Drosophila melanogaster: one gene and its partners. The protein of the gene in region 3 interacts with the protein of the main gene of each other region in a biochemical or structural test. Each region holds a gene or a part of one and is shown on either strand. Other genes may lie near its edges.

Evidence for each region. The genes of interacting proteins can lie anywhere in the genome.
Region 1: of the proteins of tld (region 3) and Actbeta, one has a biochemical effect on the other in vitro, tested with the Drosophila melanogaster proteins (one study listed by BioGRID).
Region 2: of the proteins of tld (region 3) and daw, one has a biochemical effect on the other in vitro, tested with the Drosophila melanogaster proteins (one study listed by BioGRID).

The regions. Positions count from the first base shown.
Region 1 is NC_004353.4:1,078,762-1,086,553, forward strand, and holds the start of Actbeta (Activin-beta), read right to left. Parts: upstream 6,036-7,792; 5' UTR 5,853-6,035; intron 4,513-5,852; 5' UTR 4,366-4,512; coding exon 3,366-4,365; intron 2,447-3,365; coding exon 1,496-2,446; intron 69-1,495; coding exon 1-68. UniProt on the Drosophila melanogaster protein: Controls several aspects of neuronal morphogenesis; essential for optic lobe development, EcR-B1 expression in larval brains, mushroom body remodeling, dorsal neuron morphogenesis and motoneuron axon guidance.
Region 2 is NT_033779.5:2,803,584-2,811,295, reverse strand, and holds the start of daw (dawdle), read right to left. Parts: upstream 6,036-7,712; 5' UTR 5,695-6,035; intron 2,975-5,694; exon of another isoform or gene 2,760-2,974; intron 2,317-2,759; 5' UTR 1,986-2,316; coding exon 1,043-1,985; intron 929-1,042; coding exon 653-928; intron 148-652; coding exon 1-147.
Region 3 is NT_033777.3:24,747,729-24,754,029, reverse strand, and holds tld (tolloid), read right to left. Parts: upstream 4,300-6,301; 5' UTR 4,235-4,299; coding exon 4,037-4,234; intron 3,975-4,036; coding exon 3,913-3,974; intron 3,768-3,912; coding exon 3,423-3,767; intron 3,369-3,422; coding exon 2,548-3,368; intron 2,497-2,547; coding exon 2,235-2,496; intron 2,182-2,234; coding exon 1,613-2,181; intron 1,557-1,612; coding exon 610-1,556; 3' UTR 520-609; downstream 1-519. Other genes in the region: tok (tolkin), read right to left, coding at 5,550-5,873, 5,933-6,195, 6,258-6,301. UniProt on the Drosophila melanogaster protein: Metalloprotease which cleaves TGF-beta family ligands daw, Actbeta and myo in vitro. Cleavage of daw enhances its signaling activity. Cleaves dorsal-ventral patterning protein sog. Processes sog more efficiently than metalloprotease tld which also cleaves sog.

The DNA of each region.
Region 1 (7,792 bases), on a different chromosome or scaffold from region 3:
TTTTTGGCTGGGAACACGGCGGTTTTGGGCCGAAAACTCGAGTATTCGATATTGTCGATATTGGGTTCCTTAAAATAAAATATATTATGCCAATGAATAAGAAGACTACACACAGTCATATGAGCGAATTACAAAAAAATATATTGCATTGTTTTTTTTCTTCAAAAACAGATATATTGTAAAGTTTACAATTTTTGTACAGTTAACTAAAAATCAAAGCTTTGTATATAAAATGTACTCTTAAGCGTTTTGTAGGCGTTAGAGATGGCGGATATTGGTAGACATTAAAAAAACCTCAACTACTTCAACTTTAATATAACGTATTTAAATATATTCGTTTTTGTCCATATCGATCGTATCGATGTCAGGGCCTGTAAAATCTAGAAAGTTCAGATAAAAAATTAAAAATTTCAGAGAAGAAGCACTCTCACAAGCTACCACGCTTACACTTTTAAGAAAGCGTTTTTATTTTTAGTCATTATATAATTTGTTTTGCCAATTTCTATCGGTATGCCATACATACCGCCACAAGCCGGTTTCTACTGATTTGCCTAATGTTTTTTGGGCACGATCACTCTTTCTTATTTTTATTACTGTATATTACTATTACTATATATTAATATATATTATAATATAATAATATATAATAGTAACTATAGTATATAGTATAGTATAGTATAGTAAAGTATGTTAAAGGCAGGAAGAATCGTTTCCGACTATATATAGTATATATATTCTTGATCAGGATCAATAGCCGAATCAATCTAGCCATGTCTGTATGGAACGTCTAGATCTCATGAACTATAAAAGCTAGAAGGTTAGAAGCATACTAGCTAGAAGCATACCGATTGTAGACACCTAAACGCATCGCACGTGTGTTGAGCCAACTCCCACAAACCTCCGAAAACTTTTGAAAAAGTTTTGATATTTTCTCATATTTTTAGTCTGTAGTCTTGTACATTTTTTTTTATCGATTTGTCAACAAACTTTTTGCCACGCCCACTCTAACGACCCAAAAAATGCCGCCGACAATTTTTTTTTTTTGACAAATTTGTGGATATTTTTTCATAATTTTATTAGTCTTTTAAAATTTTATGGATTTGCCAAAAAACTGCCACGCCCACACTTTAGAAAATTTTTTTTAGATTTTTCTTTGTTTTATTGTTTGTCTTGCTAATTTCCACCGGTATACCAAAACACTGTGATCACGCACATCCTTTCACCAACAAAACGCCCAAGAGGCTCACTCCCTCACTATTAAAGAATTATACAATTTTTTTCTCATTTTATTTCCCCGTAATATCCAACGATATCCCAGCAAAATTATGAAATTTCGCGTTTGCGTACCCACTAGTTATAACGGGTATAAAATAAAATTTATATTTACTTATTTATAGTAACAGGTATCTGATAGTCGGCGAACTCGACGTCTCTTATTTTTTAATTTGCCCTCGACGATAGCGTTTAATCCTGTGTTGAATAAAAATCTACTCACCCTCTTCAGCAAATGTAATTATTTCCTGCGTATTTCCAAAGAAGTCTTCATGATCAATATTTTCATGATCATCAGCAAAAGATTCGTGATGTCCTTTCTGATTTTCATATTCTATGTTGTGGATCGCTGGCTGATATCCAATGCTAGAGCGACCTTCATGGTACCGGTTTTTATCATGAGTCTGAACACTGTAATCGTTAAAATATTCATAATCATTGTGGCTCATCTCACCATTTTTGCCAGTATGGGTTTTATTATCAATACTATGATTTATATCTATAGGATATGTAGATTTTTTTAAGGCATTCTCATTCATTTGTGTGCCGTTGATGCCATTAACTTTTCTGACCGCTCCGCTTTTAAGCTCCTTAGGACTACTGTTATGGTGGCTCTTTAGTTCTATAGGCATAGATGCAATTTGAGAGTTTATTTTTAATTGACGGTTTTCTGTCCATCCGTTTAAGAATGAGTTTTTTTTATCGATTCGTTCTAAAGAACGATTTCTCAATACTTTCCCATATACATTATTTTTACTTATATTGAAAGTGAAATCGAACGGGGATCGATATTTATGATGACTGGGATCCCGTTCGCTTCTCTGATCGGTCCTTCCACCTCGGCCATTAAACAAATGTGATCCGGGCGAGGCAAACGCCCTCAGCTTGATAGTCTTCTGATCTAAATTCTTACCACTGCTCCCAAATGCATTGTTTGGTATCATTCGTCCACCATCGACTCGATATATTGTTTCCCAAATAAATTGCTTTGGTAAAGGATGAGATACATTAGGCTTGTGGCTAAGACCAAGCTTTGTCAAAATTTGCCGTTTTATTGACTCCAAACGAACTTCATCGCTGGGTGCAATGTTGTTATGGGGTTGATTAGTTTTTTTGTTGAAATTATTGTTGGAATGGTATTTGTTGTAGATGTTGTAGTCTGTGTGTGGATTATCTGTGTGAATGTGATAATTGTAAAGTGTTATGTAAAATTCATTATATAAATTTTTGTTGTTGTATGGAGTGTTTTTATGTTTTTAGTAAAGTTTCATTACCCGATATCACACAAGTTTTATCGTTTTTTAAAAATATTTTTTTGTCTTGCTAGCATTATTATTTTAAGATTTGGATTTATTTTTATGGTTCACAAAAATCTCGAAAAGAAATAAAATCAATAATCAAATCTATTTATAGTTTCTGAAATCCAGCGCCTATGACCTCTACTGTTTTTTTTTGCAATACCGAGTTTGACTAGTATTGTACATATTTACGTCACTGGAGCGACATTTCCTTCGTTTTTACGTTAAGAACAATATATAATTTTTTTATTTTATGACAATAAAATTAGACGAGACAGGAATACCTTTCAAGACTCGTAATGTTTTAATTCAAAAATATGTACGAAATTAATCGTGTAGCAAGCAAATTTTTCCAATCCTTAAGATAAACAAATTGCAATATTAAGATAAAAACTCACCCAGACTATGAAAATTTGTTCTAGATATTTTGTATTTTTTGTTATTTACCCTTTTAAGGGGGTATGAATATCCCAGGCTTACTGCGGGTGGTCCTTGTATTAAATATTATTTACATTACTAGTGGTACAACATTTGTCAATAGATATTTAATTTAATCATTGAAAATGATTTTATTTTACTTAAAAATAGCACAAAAATCTTACAAATTAAATTTATTTTACAAAAAATTCTGCATTGCAATAGTTTTGGTACAGTACGATAACCGCTTATTTCACAACAACTCACATCTGTTTTATCTTAATAACGCCAAACTCAATGTAGTTTTTTTTAGTCTCAATAAGAATATTAAAAGATTACCCTATATTCAGTATGTAAAAAATTTTTTTGAAAACTGACCTTTATCGGTGTATATGTTGGGCTTTCCGCTTTCATGGCACAAGGTGCAGCCCTTGTGACTCTCCAAATTCGAAGCATAATAATTACTACTGCTGATCCCATTGCAATTTATAAGTTTGACTTCAAACCAGACGAGTCCAATTAGAAGCCAAATAAGATTGGCTCTATTGCGTTTAATCTTTGAACAGTTACGCATTGAACCATGAATCGCTGGCCAAGGTGCTTCAATTTCCCTCAAAGGGGACACCAGTAGGCTTCTCTCTGACTGACTAAATAGTTTACCTCCTTGTACTAAGTCATAATTAGTTCCGTAATTTGTCTCCAAAGACTGGCATTTGGCATCGCTAAAATTAAGTCTTTGCTCAAAGCCGCTCATATTATCTTGCATTAGATGATGAAGTCGCTTAGTATATCTGTGCCTGCGTCGTCTGTGATTGCGTCGGCGTCGCCTCCTTCGCTGTCGTTTACGATTGCGACTTTTACAAAGCACTCTACATAAATTGTTGGACTTTACCTGTTGGTCGTTATTTATGTCATACGATGTATACCCATAAAGCAACTTTAGCTTCGTCTCCGAAGTGCTACTGGGAGTTTCATTAGGTGTGGTAGGAACCGAGACGTGCACTGTCCTACTGCTGGCTTGGCTTCTATCTGCAACTCCAGACTGGCCAGGCACGGAAAATATGTCTAGGAGTATGCAGCTTGTCAGGAGTGTCGCTACCGCAGTAACCCACCGAGCCAGCACTAAAATAACCGCCACAAACCTTGATACTCTAAGGACTTCGAGGTCAGCAACTTTTTTACGCATTGCAGCGGGTTGTGGAAATGACTTCCGGGAGCCAAGGCTGTTGCAGCAGTTTAAGTTAAAGCAGCAACAGCACTTTACAACCACAACGCAGCATCCTTGGCGACAGCAGATGCATTGACAATTAAAGAAACACCTGCTGCCTTTGAATGGCGCCCCCGATTGCGAATGATTAGAATCGAAGGCAAATCGCATCTTTGATATATGGCAAGCGTGTAGTACAGGCACTGTCCCTTAGAAACGTGGTACAAGTATTGTCAATTTTATTTTTCTGGTAAATATTTTTTTAATCATTGCAAATCTTTTTCCTTTCCTTTCCTTTCTGTCGTTCATTTCGTCTGCCTGTTCAAAATACAAATTTTCGATTAGATAAGTGGTAAGCTAACTGGAAATTAATATGGACACTAAACAAGAGAGGAGGCTACAAATTGGCAAATAAATTAAAAACACCGGAGAAAGCTATAGTCGACTTCCCCGATGCGAAGTTTCATAATTTTTCAGGGATATTTATAAATATTGTGCAAAAAGATACGAAAAAGTTTTAAATTTGTTTGAAAATGTGGGCGTGACCGTTTCGCTCGTTTTGTGGCCAAAGTGTTTTTTATATACAAAAATTGGTTCCAACAAGGCGGTGCAACAGCACATACTTCAAGAGCATCGATGGCTGTTTTGAGGGAACACTTTCCAGAGCGCCTTATCTCAATTAGAGGCGATTTGGAATGGCCGGCACGATCTGTCCCCTTGTGATTTTTTTCTATTGGGTTTTTTGAAGTCCCGTGTTTATGTGAACCGTCCAAGAGCCCTACAAGATTTGAAAACCAACATCCAAGAAGAAATTGCCATCATAACACCTGCCATGCTAACAAGACTCACGACAAACGCCAGAAATCGGTTTACGCAATGTATGGAGAATGGGGGACGTCACCTATCAGATTTCATCTTCAAAAAATATGACATGTACGTACAATATAAAAAAAAATAAATTTTTTCCGATGCCTACAATAGTTTTCATTGAGTTCTGAAAAAGGAAATTATGCTGCCGCACCCTGTATATACTTTGTATGCTCGGCAATGCTCCCTTCTACATGGTACTTACTTTTTAACGTATATAGTATACCCTTTGATTCTACGAGTAAGGGAATATATATACGGGTATACAAATCTTAAATGATATATTCTCCGAATACTTGTTTACTTGATAATTAACCAGTAATTGAACCAGTTTGCGTTGAAACGGACGGACGGTTACGGCTCTTACTGCTAGCCATACAGATGAACATATATTCTTCGTGTGGTCGTAATTGTCTCCTTTACTGCGTTGCAAGAAACTGACTTAAATCAATATACACTTTGAAAGGGTACAACACATTAAAATTAGTCTAAACCTGACGCCGAGCTTCGGATGGCACAGTTATTATTACGCCAGAAATACTTCATACCATGCACCAACAGAAGCGGACAGACAGACTCATCCGTCCCTTCTGAAGAACTCAAGGCGACACACAGACTGTGTCCAGATGAAAAGACCTACGCCTGAATGGTGGTTACTTAGAAGCCTAGCAGCGGAAAGGGATGAAGAGGAATTAAAAGCATGCGTTCAACAAAAAAATTTGTACATATGTAAGAAGGAAGGTGGTTATGTGTATAGGCTTATGATCAGTGTATGTAACAATATGTATCACCTTTTTCTTTTTAGAAACAATAAATTTTCAACTAAGTAAATATATTTCTTCACGAGAAATATTAGGGACACTATCACATTTTCACGATTTATAAATGTATTATGCTTTTCCTTTTAGCACGGAAACAATATTTTGTATCTCCGTTGGTTGCTAAATGACATTGCATACTTTGTGAAACTAAGATGACACTTTAAGCTTTTCAAAAGCTTTCTTGAAAATAACAATATTTCAGCGTTGCCATATTTGCACCAGAAATATCTGTTGCCATTCAAATTAGAAAGAATATCGATGCTATCGATATATGCTTCCTTTCACGATTAAAAAGTCGGCAGATTCAAATGGATGAATTTCAATAACCTAAATCATTTTTAAATCGTAATCGTAACTAATAAATAAAAATGTTGTTAAGCGTAGATGGAATCGTTTACCCAAAATTCCAAATTAGCAGTCGATCTTGTGTCGATCTATGTGCGCCTAAACATTAACAGATTTATCTGTAAAACTTTACGTCCAATTCAGTTAGATTCAAATCAAGATATAAATATTAATATTATATTCATTTGCTAGTACGAATGCGAACGCAAAATTTCATCATTTTTCTGGGATATCGATATTAGGGGGAAATAAAATGGGAAAAAATTGTTATACCTGTTATTCGTGGTTTGCGGGCTTTATATTGGGCGTTTTTTGGCAAATCGATAGAAATTTACAAGACTAATAAAATTATGAAAAATATCCAATACATTTTCATAAACGTGGGAGTAGCAGTTTTGGTCGATTTTAGCGCTTTGAGTGGTCGTGGCAAAAATGTTTTTTGCAGATCGATAGAAATTTACAAGATTATTAGTCTTGTATGAAAAAGTATGTATGAGAAAATATAAAAACATTTTTCAAAAGTGTGGACGTGGCAGTTTTGTGCAGTTTGTGGGCGTTAGATGAAATTATGAAAAACTATCCACAAATTGTTCAAAAATGTGGGCGTGCCAGTTTTGTGCGCTTTGTGGGCGTTAGAGTGGTCGTGTCAACATCTGTCAACAAACTTGCGCTGCGTCTATGTCGCTTGAATCTGTATGCTGATCTCAAGCTTTTACGTTTACGTACAGTACATGAGATTTCGAGTTCATTCGGAAAGACGGACGGTCGAACAGACGGTCGGACAGACGGTCGGACGGACACACGGATACACGGACATACGGACAAGGCCAGATCGATTCGGCTATTGATCCTGATCACACTTTATATGGTTGGAAACGCTTCCTTCTGGTTGTTACATACTTTCCAAATGTGAAATTCGAGTAAGTATTCTATTATTTTGCTGATTTTAGTTATGCAAATCGATATAAGGAAAAGCCCAGCAGATAATATTTCTTTATCCTTTACTTGTTAACAAAAAAAGGGTAAACCGTACTCTCTGAAGAATATTTAACAGAAAGAACAAAGAGGATGTATACGTAACTTCACCGGAATACCTACAATTATTGGCTACATTTACTTTTTACTTCCTTCGAAACGATTGCATCAAACTAGAAATAGAATACGAATATTTTGTTGTTGGTTGTTTTCATCATATACATACATGTACATAGACATAACAAATAAATAATTTACGTTTTGATACAAGCAAAAGCCTCGTAGGAGTTACTAGAATCTGGACGGATAACTTCAATTTTTTGATATCTATAGTTTTATAGGTTTTGACTTTTATAAAGATGGACCGACGGACAAGGGGACTGACTGGCATGTATCGGTCGTCTACGTTAGTGGCACGGGTTAAAAAACTTTATCCAAGACATTGTTTTAATTGGAAGAGTATATAAACCTTAGTTTGCCGATATCATGTTATTCTGGTTTTATGTGCTATCGACTTGTTAAAGCCCCTTCTGTCTGTATGTATTAACTTTCGGCTCCCGAAAATCTCCGGAAATAACTATATGTATTAT
Region 2 (7,712 bases), on a different chromosome or scaffold from region 3:
ATGGCCGGTAATCCTTGTCCACCGAAATGATCTCCTCCATGTCGCTGACATCGCAGCCACCGCAGGTGATTTGGATGAGGTGGCTCAGCTCGTGGCCACTGATCCAGTGTTTGATGGGCCACTCAATGTCGATCTTCATCCACTCATCTGAAAGTATGCGAAAGGAAAGGCAGAGCGGTTAGTTGGGGGTTCCACAGAGCCATCTTCTCTTCTCCCAGAATCGTAGATCCCATCTTTCTTATCTGGTAACTGACCCCAGGAACTCACAACTGTGCTGGGTTGTGGCCAAAGTTCAGTTTTTGCACCCACGAATAATGCTTTGTCAAGTTATTCACCCACATGAATTTCAGATTCGAGCCGAGCTATCAAGCAGTGCTATCACGAATCTGCGCAATGATCTGTCTAATTGAAAACACAAACAAGCGGTTGTCAACGTTGGCACTTATCGGCGTTCTTTATAATTTTTATAATACCCATCTAGTATAGACATGTCACATATTTTGATTTGTCCCCCGAGGGTATTGAGGGTCAGTTTTGGCCGTTCCGCGGCTGCCGACCAAAGGTCCAAACGTGTGCGATTCTTTTCTGGGCATGATTACGCTCTGGGGGGATGAGTGTTTATGCTATACTAATGTATACTATGTGTACCCACCTTGCACATTCACCGACTGGATGGCTATGGTCTTGGCCGCCGACAAATACTTGGAGTCCTTCTGCTGATCCACCTCCACCTCGGAGACTACGATCGTCTGCTGGGCACTGGTGCTGTTCACCGATGCCGTGTCGGTGCGGTTCTGTTTGTTCTTGAAGAGCCACAGGACGGCGGTGCTCACGTCGAAGCCCTCGGCATCTGCGTCGTCTATCTTGAAGGTGAAGCACATGGACGGATTGGATTTTCCATCTCTCGCTCGGTTGCACTCGACCTCCTCTGTAAAAATAAAGGATAAAGGGTTGTGTTAGCAAAATCAGAATGGTAAAAGGATTCCCTTTGAAGTTAAGCTTCAATCTTTACTTTCTAGTGCTTAAATCTAGATTTGCTTACCTCTATTGAGCAGTATGAACTTCTTGCTAGTGCGAGCGTAGTAATCGTCCAGCTCCTTGTTCTTGGTGCTATCGTCCGGATGGGAGAGTGTCATCCCGTCGAAGATGGGCTTGGGCAGCTCCACGGCCGACACCTTGGGGCTCTCCTTGAGGCGCAGCTTCTCCAGGATCTGCTGCTTAACGAACTCGATGCGTAAGTGGGTCAGCTGCTCCTCGGTGATGTGCTCCACTTGGCGATTGCTCTCGCACTTGGGGCATCCTCCGGCGCTGGACTTCACCGAAATGGTGATGTTCCTCTCACCCAATGGGAGCTCTGGCTCTATGGGCGTTTCCGGCTGCTGATCTAGGTCCAGATCGAGATCGAGATCCTTCTCCTGATTCTGCTGGTCCTCGGCCATCAGTTCGTTGCGCACAAAGTCCAGCGGCGACAGATCATCAAAGTGATCATCGGAGGAGAGGGATGACTCCTCGGGGGCATCTCCGTACATGATAGGCAACTCCACGGGCGGGCTCACATGTCGGTGTGCCTTCTCCTCCTGCTCCATGAGGTGTTGCCACAGGCGGGGCACCTTTAGCTGCTCCGAATGGGAGCCGGGATGGTTGTAGCTGAGCTCCTGCTGCAGGAGGTGCTGCCTCTTGTGGATGACGTGGCGCCTCAGGCGGGCATAGTACTCCCGCTTGGTGATCGGTACATCGTCCTCCTCGCTGGTCGGATCCGGTTCCAGGTGTTTCAGCTGACGGGATCGTTGCTGCCGGATATGGTGTTGCTGCTGCAGCTGTTGCGAGGTGTGCTGCACATGGGGATGCGGCTGGTGCTTAGGATGCGGACGAAGGATGTCGCCACGGGAACTCGGATGGGAGCGGGCGTGCAGGCGATTGTATACGTTCCTGTTCTCCAGGGCCAGACACACCAGCAACACCAGGGCTATAAAGTACTTGGCCATTTCTGAATATGTACTTATGACTTCTCTTTTTTTTTAACTGTGAGATATTTTATATGTATCTTATGATCTTCTGGATCGCCTTTGGTTTCACTCTTGTTTTGTCGGCTGGGGCTGATTGCTATCTGTTTGGCAGCATTAAAACATCAATTTTTCCGGCTTTCAGGTTTACAAAACTCATAGAATTGCAGCTGGTTTCACTTATTGTTGCCGTTTTATAGCCTTGTTTAAGCACTTTTAAAACGTTTATGCGTTTTTTATGATTTTATATAACAACGACTTATACGCTTGAATGATGCATGTTCAATATTTTAAACTTTTCGTTAAGTTTCGTCTGCAAATAAGAAGAAATTTGTAACTTAGTTAATATTGTAAGCACATTCCGATTATTAATCAAATAAATTAAAACAGCTATGCCCTAAATTTTCTCATAAATATTTGCGAACGCGCTGCCCCAATTAAAATGCAATTTAATATGCCAGCGGATCAGGTGCATTTATCACTATCACTCACTAAGCCCGAAGTCTCGCTTAATTTTTGCACCAAATTGCATCATTTATTCCATATCGTTGAGCTCGAATTGGCAGGTGGCAAAGTGCAAATCGTTTTTTTGACATTAATTCCGGGAAGATTTAGTTTAGTTCAGTATTCAATTTCACATTATCACATGGGCTATTTGCCCCAAGTGCGACTCAAATCGAAAGCGTAGTTGCGCAGATCCGCTGATAAGCGGGCTCAATTAGATGGCAATTAGGTGGACGTGGACCCCACACGTACCGTGGTGAGCACACTCCGATTTGCTCCAATGGGATCTGAATCTGCTCAGCCGGATGAATCCGGCGGGGGTTGCGGCATTAACTTTGAACCCGGACACGAAACACGAGTGGCACGGGCCTTTAGCTATAGCTGGGATCGCGCGTCTATATAGTATTCCACTTGTGGTATGGTCTATGATATAGTATGGTGCTTCTTTCTCTTCCGACATGCGGCAGCGCAAACGAGTTGTGAATGAATGAAGCGGTTGGCTGATTAGTAGAACAATTTATGTGACGATCGCCGAGCGTTTGATTGATCGTTCCGCGAGCGCCAGCCGAACCGAACCGAACCGAACCGAAACAATCCGAACCACTCGAATCGCATCGTATCTGACGGATCGTTTCGTATCGGTTGCGGACTCGGATCCAAGCCGAGCGGTTCGGGTCTCGATTTATGACTATAGACCATGGTTATGGCTACATGGCGCTCTCTCTTTAGCCGAAGACAATTGGATATGCAAGTGGGGTGCAGCATTGCATCAGCTTCTTGAAAACGCCAAGCCACCGAATTGCATAAAATTCTTAATTGCAATTTTATTTTTAACCTCCCGCCACCCTGACAATGCCACGCCCCCAGTTGGCGGCGTCACTATCTGTTGGCATTTTTGGCACTCGCTTGGCCACAATGGGGCATTTTGATATCAAGTGAATTTATGATCGCTTCAAACCGAATCGAATCGAATCGAATCGAGTCGAGTGGCCCATTCATGCTAATTACCCCGCAGCGTTATCAAGCTTGACTTTGATGATCCGACTCGATTGTGTGTCAATCAATTAATAGTGAACACGTTGCTGATAAGGGGCGGTTTCCCACTTTTGGTCCACAAATCGGGAGCATGGAATATGTAGTGCGGCATTTAACCAATTAAGTACGCTTAGCATGCGATTCTGGGCAATCCTAATCGGATTCGGTTAATAGATGCGCATTTCAAATACATAGTGTGTCTGTTTTCCAATTTAAATGCGAATGGGAAATTCATGAGTATTTCGGTTGGGAATTTCATCAGCCAGAATTTCTGGTCTCGGCTAAATGTGAAGCAGTCGAGTAAGGTCAAGAAAAGTATTTTGAAGGCCGGCAGATCACGAGTTATATTATACCGCCTATTCGATTTAGCCTTAAATGCTGAACACGTGCCCGATTCGCTTGTCACGAACTGTGATTTTTCTGAACCCAATTAGATCATCGAGACGAATAGAAATGATCTATACTATACGGAGGAGAAGGTCCGTTTAATTGATAGAAATTTTGTAGGCCTCAGCGAATTCTGGCAACATTGTTGGTGCGGCTTAAGCAAAAGCAAATTAATAGGGGTTCTTGTTAGGAAATAATACAATAAACAACTATAAGTATTGCATACTCCCCAATTTCATATTAGATTATGACACCTTTGACTTGCACAATTAAGTTTAGTTTTACGTGTTCCCATAAGTTACATAAGGTATTACACTTTTCCAGTGGCCCTTTTCCAATTTAAATGACGTCCTGGCCTTCAGCATATGTCGCACCACTTATCAACTCATCGCATATTTTTCCACAACCTACGTAGATTGCCACGTTCCAAAATCTGCTCCATTTTGTTTTTTCCAACACAACCAACCTGACGTCGATTAAAGCGACTGGGGGCCACATAATGACGGATCAGATCGGATGGGATGGGATCTGATAGAATGGATGGGGATCGGATCAGGAAGCAGGGCTTGGATTGTAGCACACACGCGACATGTGACACGTTTTGTACGTACTCTTCGTTTTTGACGTAACTCGAGCTGTCCGCACTGCACTGGACTTAATGACTGACTTGACTGACCGACTTATCAAAGGCAGGAATCGAAGCCGAGGCGTGCGACTGCGATGTGATGGGGGCCCGCGGAAAAGGGGTGCCGCTGGGAAGGGGGACAGAAGTTGAAGAAGGTCATTTAACGCCCGGCAGTCATGGCTACGTCATCGAGCACGCCACCAGCGCGTGATCAGAAGCAAAAGCTGTAGTGAAGACTCCGCGGTTGCCATGTCGATGCAAATCGGAGCAAAAAACTGCTGTGCCTGTGAATGGGGAGTTGGGGGTCTGGCGATGCGTCGATTGGAGGTGCAAAGTACAGCCGCTTGATGGAGATGGCTTCTTGACTAAGCGACTCTGCTTGGGGGTTTTCCATGGGCCTGCCCGTATCATTTTCGCATTAATTACGGGGCAGCTGGGACTGGATGTGGGGCTGGGACTCGGACTTGGAGTGGGGCTATCGTAATTGCCGGCAATTATCACTTGCATTTCTTCTTCGCGCGCAGCAGTTGAATGCACTGCGACAAAAACACGGCTGCTTCCATCGGTTTTTGGCAATAAATCACGGCGATCACGCCGTTCTCGCCGATCAGCGGTTGGGAGCATGCCACGATCTGGACTTTGGAACCGCTCACGGAGATTGCCCCGATTGCCAGAAGCCAGAGGCCCGAAGCGTCGCAAATTAATCTGCCATAATACTTTTCTCGCCACACGCTCATCGGCGATGCTACCATAAATCAAGTGCAGGATTAAATAAGATCATCATTGGTAGCAACTAAATTTGGCCAATGACTCTCGACGTGGCCGAAATTCGCCAAGAGCTTTTGGAGGTTATGCGCCTGGGTTATAGGCTCGAAAACTATCAATCAATCAATCGGTGATAGATAGGCCTCTGATCGATAAACCATTCACTGCATGATTAGTTTTTAATTACGGCATGATATTCCAAAAGCGAAACTAGAAACTTCCCTGCGATTTGGTAATAACTGATATTGAGCATTAGACTGCTAAAAAAAATATACAATTTCTAGTATCCCATGTTGAGGCTGATTCCATAATTCACATTTTTGGCACTTTTATTTAAACTTCTTACACAATAAGCCCTTGTGTTATGTAACTCACCCAAATTAATAATCCATTGTCAAAATGCTTGAATAACTTAGCACATTGTTTGCAATCTTCTGCGAAAAGGGATGCTTATCAAATGTCCTTGAGTGATTCTACAATCGATTGTCCGTTTATTTGTTTTCGCAAATCACTTTCGCAAACTCATTATTGTTTTGAATTTCACCACTTGAACTTGATTTCCTCAAAATGACGAGCTGATATTTCGCTGAGCAAAAACAAATGTTTTGAAGAAACATAAAGTATTATTCGTTCACACCAAGTTTCATGTACGATTTGCACGATTTGAATAATTTTCGATCCGATCGTTGGGAACGTCTGCGTGTGAATAATTCGACGATGGGCGGCGCAGCGGCCACAAAAGCCTGGAGCGGTACGACTAACGGTATCTGTGGGGAGCGGTATGGGTGTGAGTATGGGCCTGGGTATGGGTATGGGTATGGGTATGGCCCACTCTTCGGGCGGCAGACAGTTGAGTTTCAGTTTGTTTGATAACAGACACGCCGCCGATCATTGGCGCACTCCGCTGCTCTGCGTTTTAAGCGATGCGCAATTCTACTTTGCTTCCAGCAAGTGCGACAGAGAGAGAGAGAGGGAGAGCAGGGAGAGCCACTGATAATGGGTGGCTTTCCCCCCTGGCCCACACAGCAGCGTTTTAGGTCCGGTTGGCTCCCATCCGATCGCCTCCTGCATCGAACACCCACGCCGCTCGAGGCTGGAGCATCGAACAAGTTCGCTGGCCGGCGCTACATGTTCGATGGCCGTTCGTGAGTTCGAGCTTGTTGGGAATGAGGATCGAGCCCCAGCATTCGTCACCCAAAAACGTGAGCTGACGTCGTGCCGGTGGGGTTTTATCGCTCGATCCAACCGGTCCAAAGTTCAGCGGCAGTCCAGTCCAGCGGATTGCCTTTGACTTTCCCTGATAGCCGACATTGCCTAATGGCGATTGGTTCTCACAGCCAAAGCGATACCATCGCTTTCTTTTGATGGCCCAATGTCTATTAATAAGCGGTACTAGCGAGAGGTATGACTAAAATTGACGTATAACCATGAATGCTAGAAGAAAGTACATATGTATCATCGAAGAATATGCAAACAATGTCGTGTAAAAGACTGAACAATTAGATGTAATATAACGAATGAACTAAGTATACTCAATTTCAGACTCCACCCTACGTATGCCTTCCTGTTTTTGTTTAGCTCTTGGCCAGCTAATCGCTTTCCTCTTGACCAATTTACGATGTGGCTTTTACGACGTTTGGGGTTTCTTGTTTTTAACTTGCTGGCTGCTTCAATTGATTACCATGTGTGATATCATAATTTTGAAGTTTTCACGCCCGTCGAGCATGGGTCTCTTGAGATTACCTCGGAGGACAATAGTATGTAAATGGCTAATATTAATTAAATGCTGGCTCTGATTGCGTATCGCTGTGTTTCACTTTCAAACCTCATGCCAATCGACTGATTAAGTCCGTTCCGAGTTTTGTTTACCTTGAGATTTCACAATAAAGCATTCACCTCAAATATAATGCGATGGAATCGCACAATATACCTTTCGTGATTTGTATACTCAGGATCGAGGCAAAATCTCACTCGAAACGTCTAATTTTTAAATGTGGCGCGCGTGCTGAAAAACACGTCACAATGCACGGCTTATCGTGGCCGGGCCTCTGGAATTTCAGTTTTTAATTAAAACAGTGTTTTGGTGTCATAATTAAGTCAACAATATATGATGCTTATACCCTTGATAGGGGTACTATGACTTTAGTTACACGTTTGAACTGCAAGCTTAAAGTTACCTTAAACATCTAAAGATTCATTCTAATATTTTCTGAACTATTCATCGCTTCATTTGATTATAAATGGCCTTATTCGTCTAGACTTTGGCCTTGCATTTGATCAGGAAAATTCTATGACTGTCTAGTGAGCATTTGATTCAAATTACAGATCAGGAAAGTAAAGTCTAAGAATGTGAACTCAAAAAATAGAGTTATTGAAACGATTTGAATCTATTT
Region 3 (6,301 bases):
GCCAAAACAGAAATAACTTGAACTAAACAGAAACGGGCTCGCAGCTAACTTAGTGGTCCATTAACACAGCGACTAACTAATCAATTAACACAATTAACGAACAAAAATTAAACAAATTAGAGCGTCGCCGCACAAATCCAAATTCGAACTGAAATTCGAAACGAAGCGACGCCGATACTCGATTGCTTGATTGCTGGAGCAAAGGGCTATCGAACAATTCGACCTATCGATTGTGAAATGTTAGGGGTCTTCAGAATGGTTTTCGATAGACTTAAAAATATAAGGATTACATTTGTCCGCAATTTTTAAACATAAATTATTTAATATGATAAGATCATTCTAAGGAATATTATTTTGTGTAATTTTACATAAATTGTGAGTAACCCAGATGTGTTAACACCACCAATCGATATCCTCAGTGTGAACGTTGCACAGTTTTATAGCGCCAAATTCAAATGTGTATTATCACAGATATAAATATTATGTGCCTTTAAAAATAAAATATAGGGTAAACAAAATGACTCGAAATATCTTTTATTCACAATCTATTTACAAATTTCAACAACAAACATTAAACTCTAAATCCCTTCGCTGGACCTCTCATTTTATCTAAATGAGTCTGCTGGGTGGCAGGAGGTGGTCGCTGCCCGTTTCTGAGGAATACATGCTCTTGAGATAGCCCGGAAAGGGTGTAACCGCGTCGAAATCCTCGCCAACAGAATCTTCCGGTGGATCCACGGCCATGAAGGAGATGGCGAAGCCTCTCAATGAGTTACTCTCGTCCGTTTGGAATCGCAACAGAAGGGTGTCCGAGTTGGAGATTATGATTGGCGGCTTGTGCTTTCCGCAAAATCTGCCGTGGATAGTGTTCATTGAGTAGCCCTCCTCGGTGATCTCCAGATAATCGTAGTCGCATCGCTCCGAGTACTCGATCTCGAAGTGTAGGAAACGGATCTTGACACTGCTTTCCGGGTCTGCCTGAATGCGCCAATCGCAGTACATGTTCCGCTTGTACGGCCTACTGCCGTATCGTGGATGCGAGTAGAAGGTCTGTGAATGATTTGTGGCCCTCAAGTAGCCACCACATTCGGAGACAAAGGTGGCCTTGAAACCCTTTCTCTGAAGACCCGCATCCGTGGCCAGTACCATAAACATCTCATTGGTGGAGGCAATAACGGCATACGGTTCACGTCCACCGCAATAGATGCCCAATGTTGAGCTATTTTCGGAGCGACCATCATAGATAGCCACATAGTCGTAGATGCACTCCTGGTGGCTCTCCACCTCAAAGTCGTGGAATGTCAACTGTATCCGGTGGCCCAGTACGGTCTGAAAATGCCAGTAGCAGTAAATGTTTCTTGGATAATCCTCCGGATAGTTGGGACTCTGCAACACTCCATACGACGTGGTGATCTCGAACTTGCAACGCGTCTCCGTGCAGTTGTGTCCATTTTCAGCCAATGTGTATCCATTGCGGCAGCTGCACTGATAGGATCCAAAGGTGTTTCGGCATCGGTGCTGACAGCCACCATTGTTCATTGAACACTCATCCACATCTGTGGAATAATGATATTATAGATCGTACGTAAATTAATTTTTTTCTGTAAGTTACCTATTACAAACTTGGCCACAAATCCACTTCTCTGGACAGTGCGATCCGAGTAGAACTCCAGCCTGAGGATACTCTGCTCGGAATTCACCACTGGAGGTAGTTCATGACCACAATAAATGCCAATCTTCTTCAGGCGATTATCCCTCATTTTGGAGTATATAATCAGGTAATCATAGTTGCACTTGGTGTAGTGAAACCGTGTGCCCTCCAAATCAAAGTGGGAAAAGTTTAGGAACACCGCGTGATTCGGTGGCGCAACCACTTCCCAAACGCACTGCTTGGAGTTGGGATACACATCCGGATACGATGGTGAGTAGAGCGAGCCATTGGATTTGGTGGCGTCCACGACTCCTCCACACGCGTCCTCGCAGGTCTTTCCATTTGCCTGCAACTCGTATCCCGCTCGACAGCCACATTGGTAGCTACCCAAGGTGTTGATGCACAGGTGCTGGCATCCATGATCCGTGAACTTGCACTCATCCACGTCCAGCATCAAGGCGGCTGAGAATCCCAGCTTTTGCACCGATGAGTCGGATACGAAACGGATGTACATCTGGTTACTGCGGGTTCTAAGTGGATATTCACTTGGTTAGTGATCATTTTTCCTTTGAAAGTAACTTACTTTATGTTGGGCGGCAGTTTATCTCCGCAGAAGCGTCCTATGAGCCGCGAATCACTGTGATTGCCATCCCGTATCTCCACAAAGTCGTAGGCACACCCGTCGTGCTTCTCCAGCTCAAAGCTCTGGAACTTCAGGGCCACCTGGTGGTTATCCGGAGCCGTGATCCGCCACACGCACTCTTTGTCCGGCATGTAGTCCATAGGATAGTTGGGAGAGTCTATGGACTGATCTTTGGTCAGCTTTAAGTCCCCACCACATACCACTGGAATGGAAAAATTAGTTTGTGTTTTTCTTTGAAAAGTTTAAAACTTACCCTCGAATCTCGCCTTGAATCCACGGTAACCTTTGGCTGCATTCCTGTTGACATAGTTGAGAAGCATGCGACTTGTCTGGGTGGTGATGACCTCTCCGCTGACATTTCCGCAGATTCGTCTCACCAGTGGCGATTTGTGCCAGTAACCATCCCTAATCTCCAGGTAATCCTGAGTACAATCGTCGGAGCTCATCAGATGCAGCTGCTGCAGATGCAGGATGACCTTTTCCCCATTGGTGGCCGTGATCCGCCACTCGCAGTTGGTCAGCGAGGCATCGAACTCAGATTCCGCGGACGGATCTTCCCCAGCATCACCACTGCCCTCGAATTCGCTGAGTACTCCATTGCCGGAGTATATAAAGTGTGGACTCACTATATGTCCAGAATTCTGCTGATATGTTCGTCCACAGGAGGCGCACTTATAAAGCAAATTGGCTTGAACAATGTCGCCGCGACTAAGACGCTTCCGCTGACCCAACTCCAAATGGGTTCCGGGTGGAATCCCTATCGGTGTGATGGTATCCAGGTAGGGACTCTTCGAGAACGAGTTCTTCGCATAGTGCATAATGGAGTTAAGATCGTAGGGCAGTAGAGGCAAGTCCACCTCCTCCGGCGAGAGTACATCAAAGTTGTACTCCTGACCCCTCATGATGTTCCCCTTGTTAATCACGATGTGTTTATCTCTGTCACCACGGGCGTGTTCATGGTGAAACCCGATTGTGTGACCCAGTTCATGGATAATAATGCCAAACTTTTCGCAATTACGTCCAATGGAGATGGGCTGGCGTCCATTCCCATTCTTACCCAGAAACGAACAGCAACTATTCGATGGGATATAAATTATAAATTCTCCATAGAACGAATATTAGACTTACCCGCAATTCTTGACTGTAAAGTATATATAGTTTGCATGCAAATTGGGATCCCGCTCCACAAACTTGATGCAGGTGAAGTTCTCCCAGTGGCGCATGGCCTGCTTGAAGAGCGCCTTGTGGGCTCCACTGAAGATGGTATCGATCTCGTAGGGTATGACCCCATAGTCCCAAGTTCGCTCCTTCCTCACGGTCACAGCTCTTCGCCTTCTCTGGATTGGTTGCCCATTTAAAGTGGGTGAGTGACTATGCTGCAGGACATCAACAGCGTCATCGGTCCACAGAAATGGTGGGGGTAATCTCAGAGCGGCTTTGTTCTGCGATTTATGCGACTGCTTCCGGCGTCTCCTGTGTGGGTGGTTGAGATGGGCAGGGAGGGCTTATGAGCTCAGGTATTACTTACGTGCCCAAAGGCAAGCACTCCAGTGGCCAAGGCAAGTGTGTGGGCTAATTGCGCACCATTGTGTGCGGTATAAATCCCAGTGGAACTTACCCCGAATGTTGTCTGGTTGTCTTGAGTTGATAGATATCATCCTTTGGCTCCTTCGGCGGCACCTGTTGTTGGGTAATGCTGAAGATTGTAATTTTAGGTCGGGCCACGTGACTCCACCACTCACCAGTGAAGAATCCAGAATGCCAAAGAAGTCCTCTGGCTGCTCCTTGAAATCAAAATCGCACTCACTCTCGGGCAGCTGACTCAGTCGCCTGCCCTCGGCGTAATCCACCAGAAAAAACATCATCATCCAGAGAGCTCCCACAGAGAGAACAACTAATTTCGCTTTCATTTTCATGGGCATAAGGCGCATTCCTTTCATTGCGTGGGTATTTCTGGGGGCTCGTTCCCTGAAGTTGCTTCAACCAGTTCAAAGTTCTAACTGAGTGCTCGTGGACTGCGATTGCCGAATTATACTGGTGCGCCGACAAGGGTTCCACGGATCGAGTGAGTGAGCAGCAGGTAACAGATCCCAACTCGTAGGGGAATCGGTGGACGAGGGGCGTGGCAGGGCAGGCCGTTGCAGAATCTCGACTGACCGCTCGAAGGGACGGCTCAATAGAAGGAGAGACGAGAGCCATAACCAGACCTGAGTGCTACCCCTCCTCATTGGCGATTCGGGATGACCATTGTCTGCCGCCTGTTGTTTGCATTCAATGGATTTTGATTTGGGTATTCCTGCTCACACCTTGACATTGTCCATCTATACGTGTACGCGTATGTGGCCATCTACCTGGGTCGCTGGCCGGGCTCAGGGGCATTTGCCCAGGATCAGGTGTTGCTTAAGCGGGTTCGTGCCTTTTAGGGCAGGTCATTAATGATCGTAAATCCGCCGCATGAACGAATCGTTTCGCGGTAATTCCACCTTCAAATGCTATTCAAGAGCCATGGCGCTTCTGCCTGGCGTGGCAAGGTGGAACCTAGGGCCATAAATCCATGAGCCCATAAACCCGAAAGTCCGTAAATAACATTCTTCAAACTCGTTTTGTTTTGGTTTTAAAACATAGTTACTATGCAAGTTTTAATATGTATAGATATAATTACGTATTAAGTTGAGTCAAATATCCGAGAGTTGTACATATGCCTGTGTGAAAAATTCAATCCATCTGTAAGGATCCTCCACTTTCGGTGCTTCCGAAGATATGTGTGTATCTCTTTTCTATCCTAACTTCCGTTCTGATTTTGATATGGGCCACCCATTGACTTATGCTAAGATGCCTAAGGAAATGCACTCCATCATTACCATTAAATATGGCACAATATAGAATATAGATATCCGAAAAAAATGAAAATGCGTCAGAGAAAAAAGCAGTCAAATGCAAGGGGGGAAGAGGAATTGCACATTTAGCTACAGAGTCTAGAGAAGTCTAGTCAAAGTACATTACATGTATGACATAGGGGTCTAAGTAATTGCCACCGCAGATCTTAGCCGACTGGAACCTAACAATGTGTGTTTCGAGTGCCTAAAACTAGTATTGGATCTTTGATTATATCCTGGATTTGGCCAGAAGAGTGCGCGTGGAAGATCGGGAAAGTCTGTTTTATGTACGCGACGATATGCCTAAATCTGTTAAATAAATTCCGTTTTAATATATTGTCATGTATTTTGGCGCACGGTCAGTGGTTCCACCATAGCCCTATGCCTTTCCGGAGTAGTACCGTTTGGGCAGACTATATCGGCCACGATACTGCCCATTGAAGACCAGTTGATTGCCGCTGAAGTCGCTGTACTCGTCGGTCTCCTCCTGCGTGTCCTCGATGTAGATGCTCTTCAGTGAGCCCGGAAACGGGGTAACCATCTCGGAGCTGTACGAGTTCTCCACATCCTCGTCGGAGTGGTCATACTCCCCGGAATTGGGCACGGCCACATATGAGGCAGAGAAGCCCTTCATCGGCACCGAACCGTCGGTCTTAAAGCGAACCAGCAGAGAATGTGTCATAGAGTTGATGTCCTGCGGCAGCTGCAGTAAATAATGCTTAGCTTAAATGTTCTCCGGATAAACGAAATAGGTGTACCCACCACATTGCCACAGTACTGTCCGTACATGGGTCCATACTGTCCGTACACATCGTCTATGTCAGAGAACACCTGCACGTAGTCAAAGGTGCAGTTCTCGCTGCTCTCGATGTCGAAGGTGAGGAATATGAGCTGGACGTAGCTGTTGTCCGGCGCCGCGATGGTCCACTCGCAGTCCATGCCGTCGTCATAGTCCTGGTTTCCGAATCGGGCGTGCGAATAGAACTGCTGCACCTGGCTAGTGGCACGCAAGTAGCCCCCACAGGCTGCAAGTAAATTATCGAAATGTTGAAATTGCGGATGGCTTAGGATTTCAACACCATCATACCCGTGGAGTGGGAGGCTGTGAAGCCGTTCTTTTGCTTGTTCTTG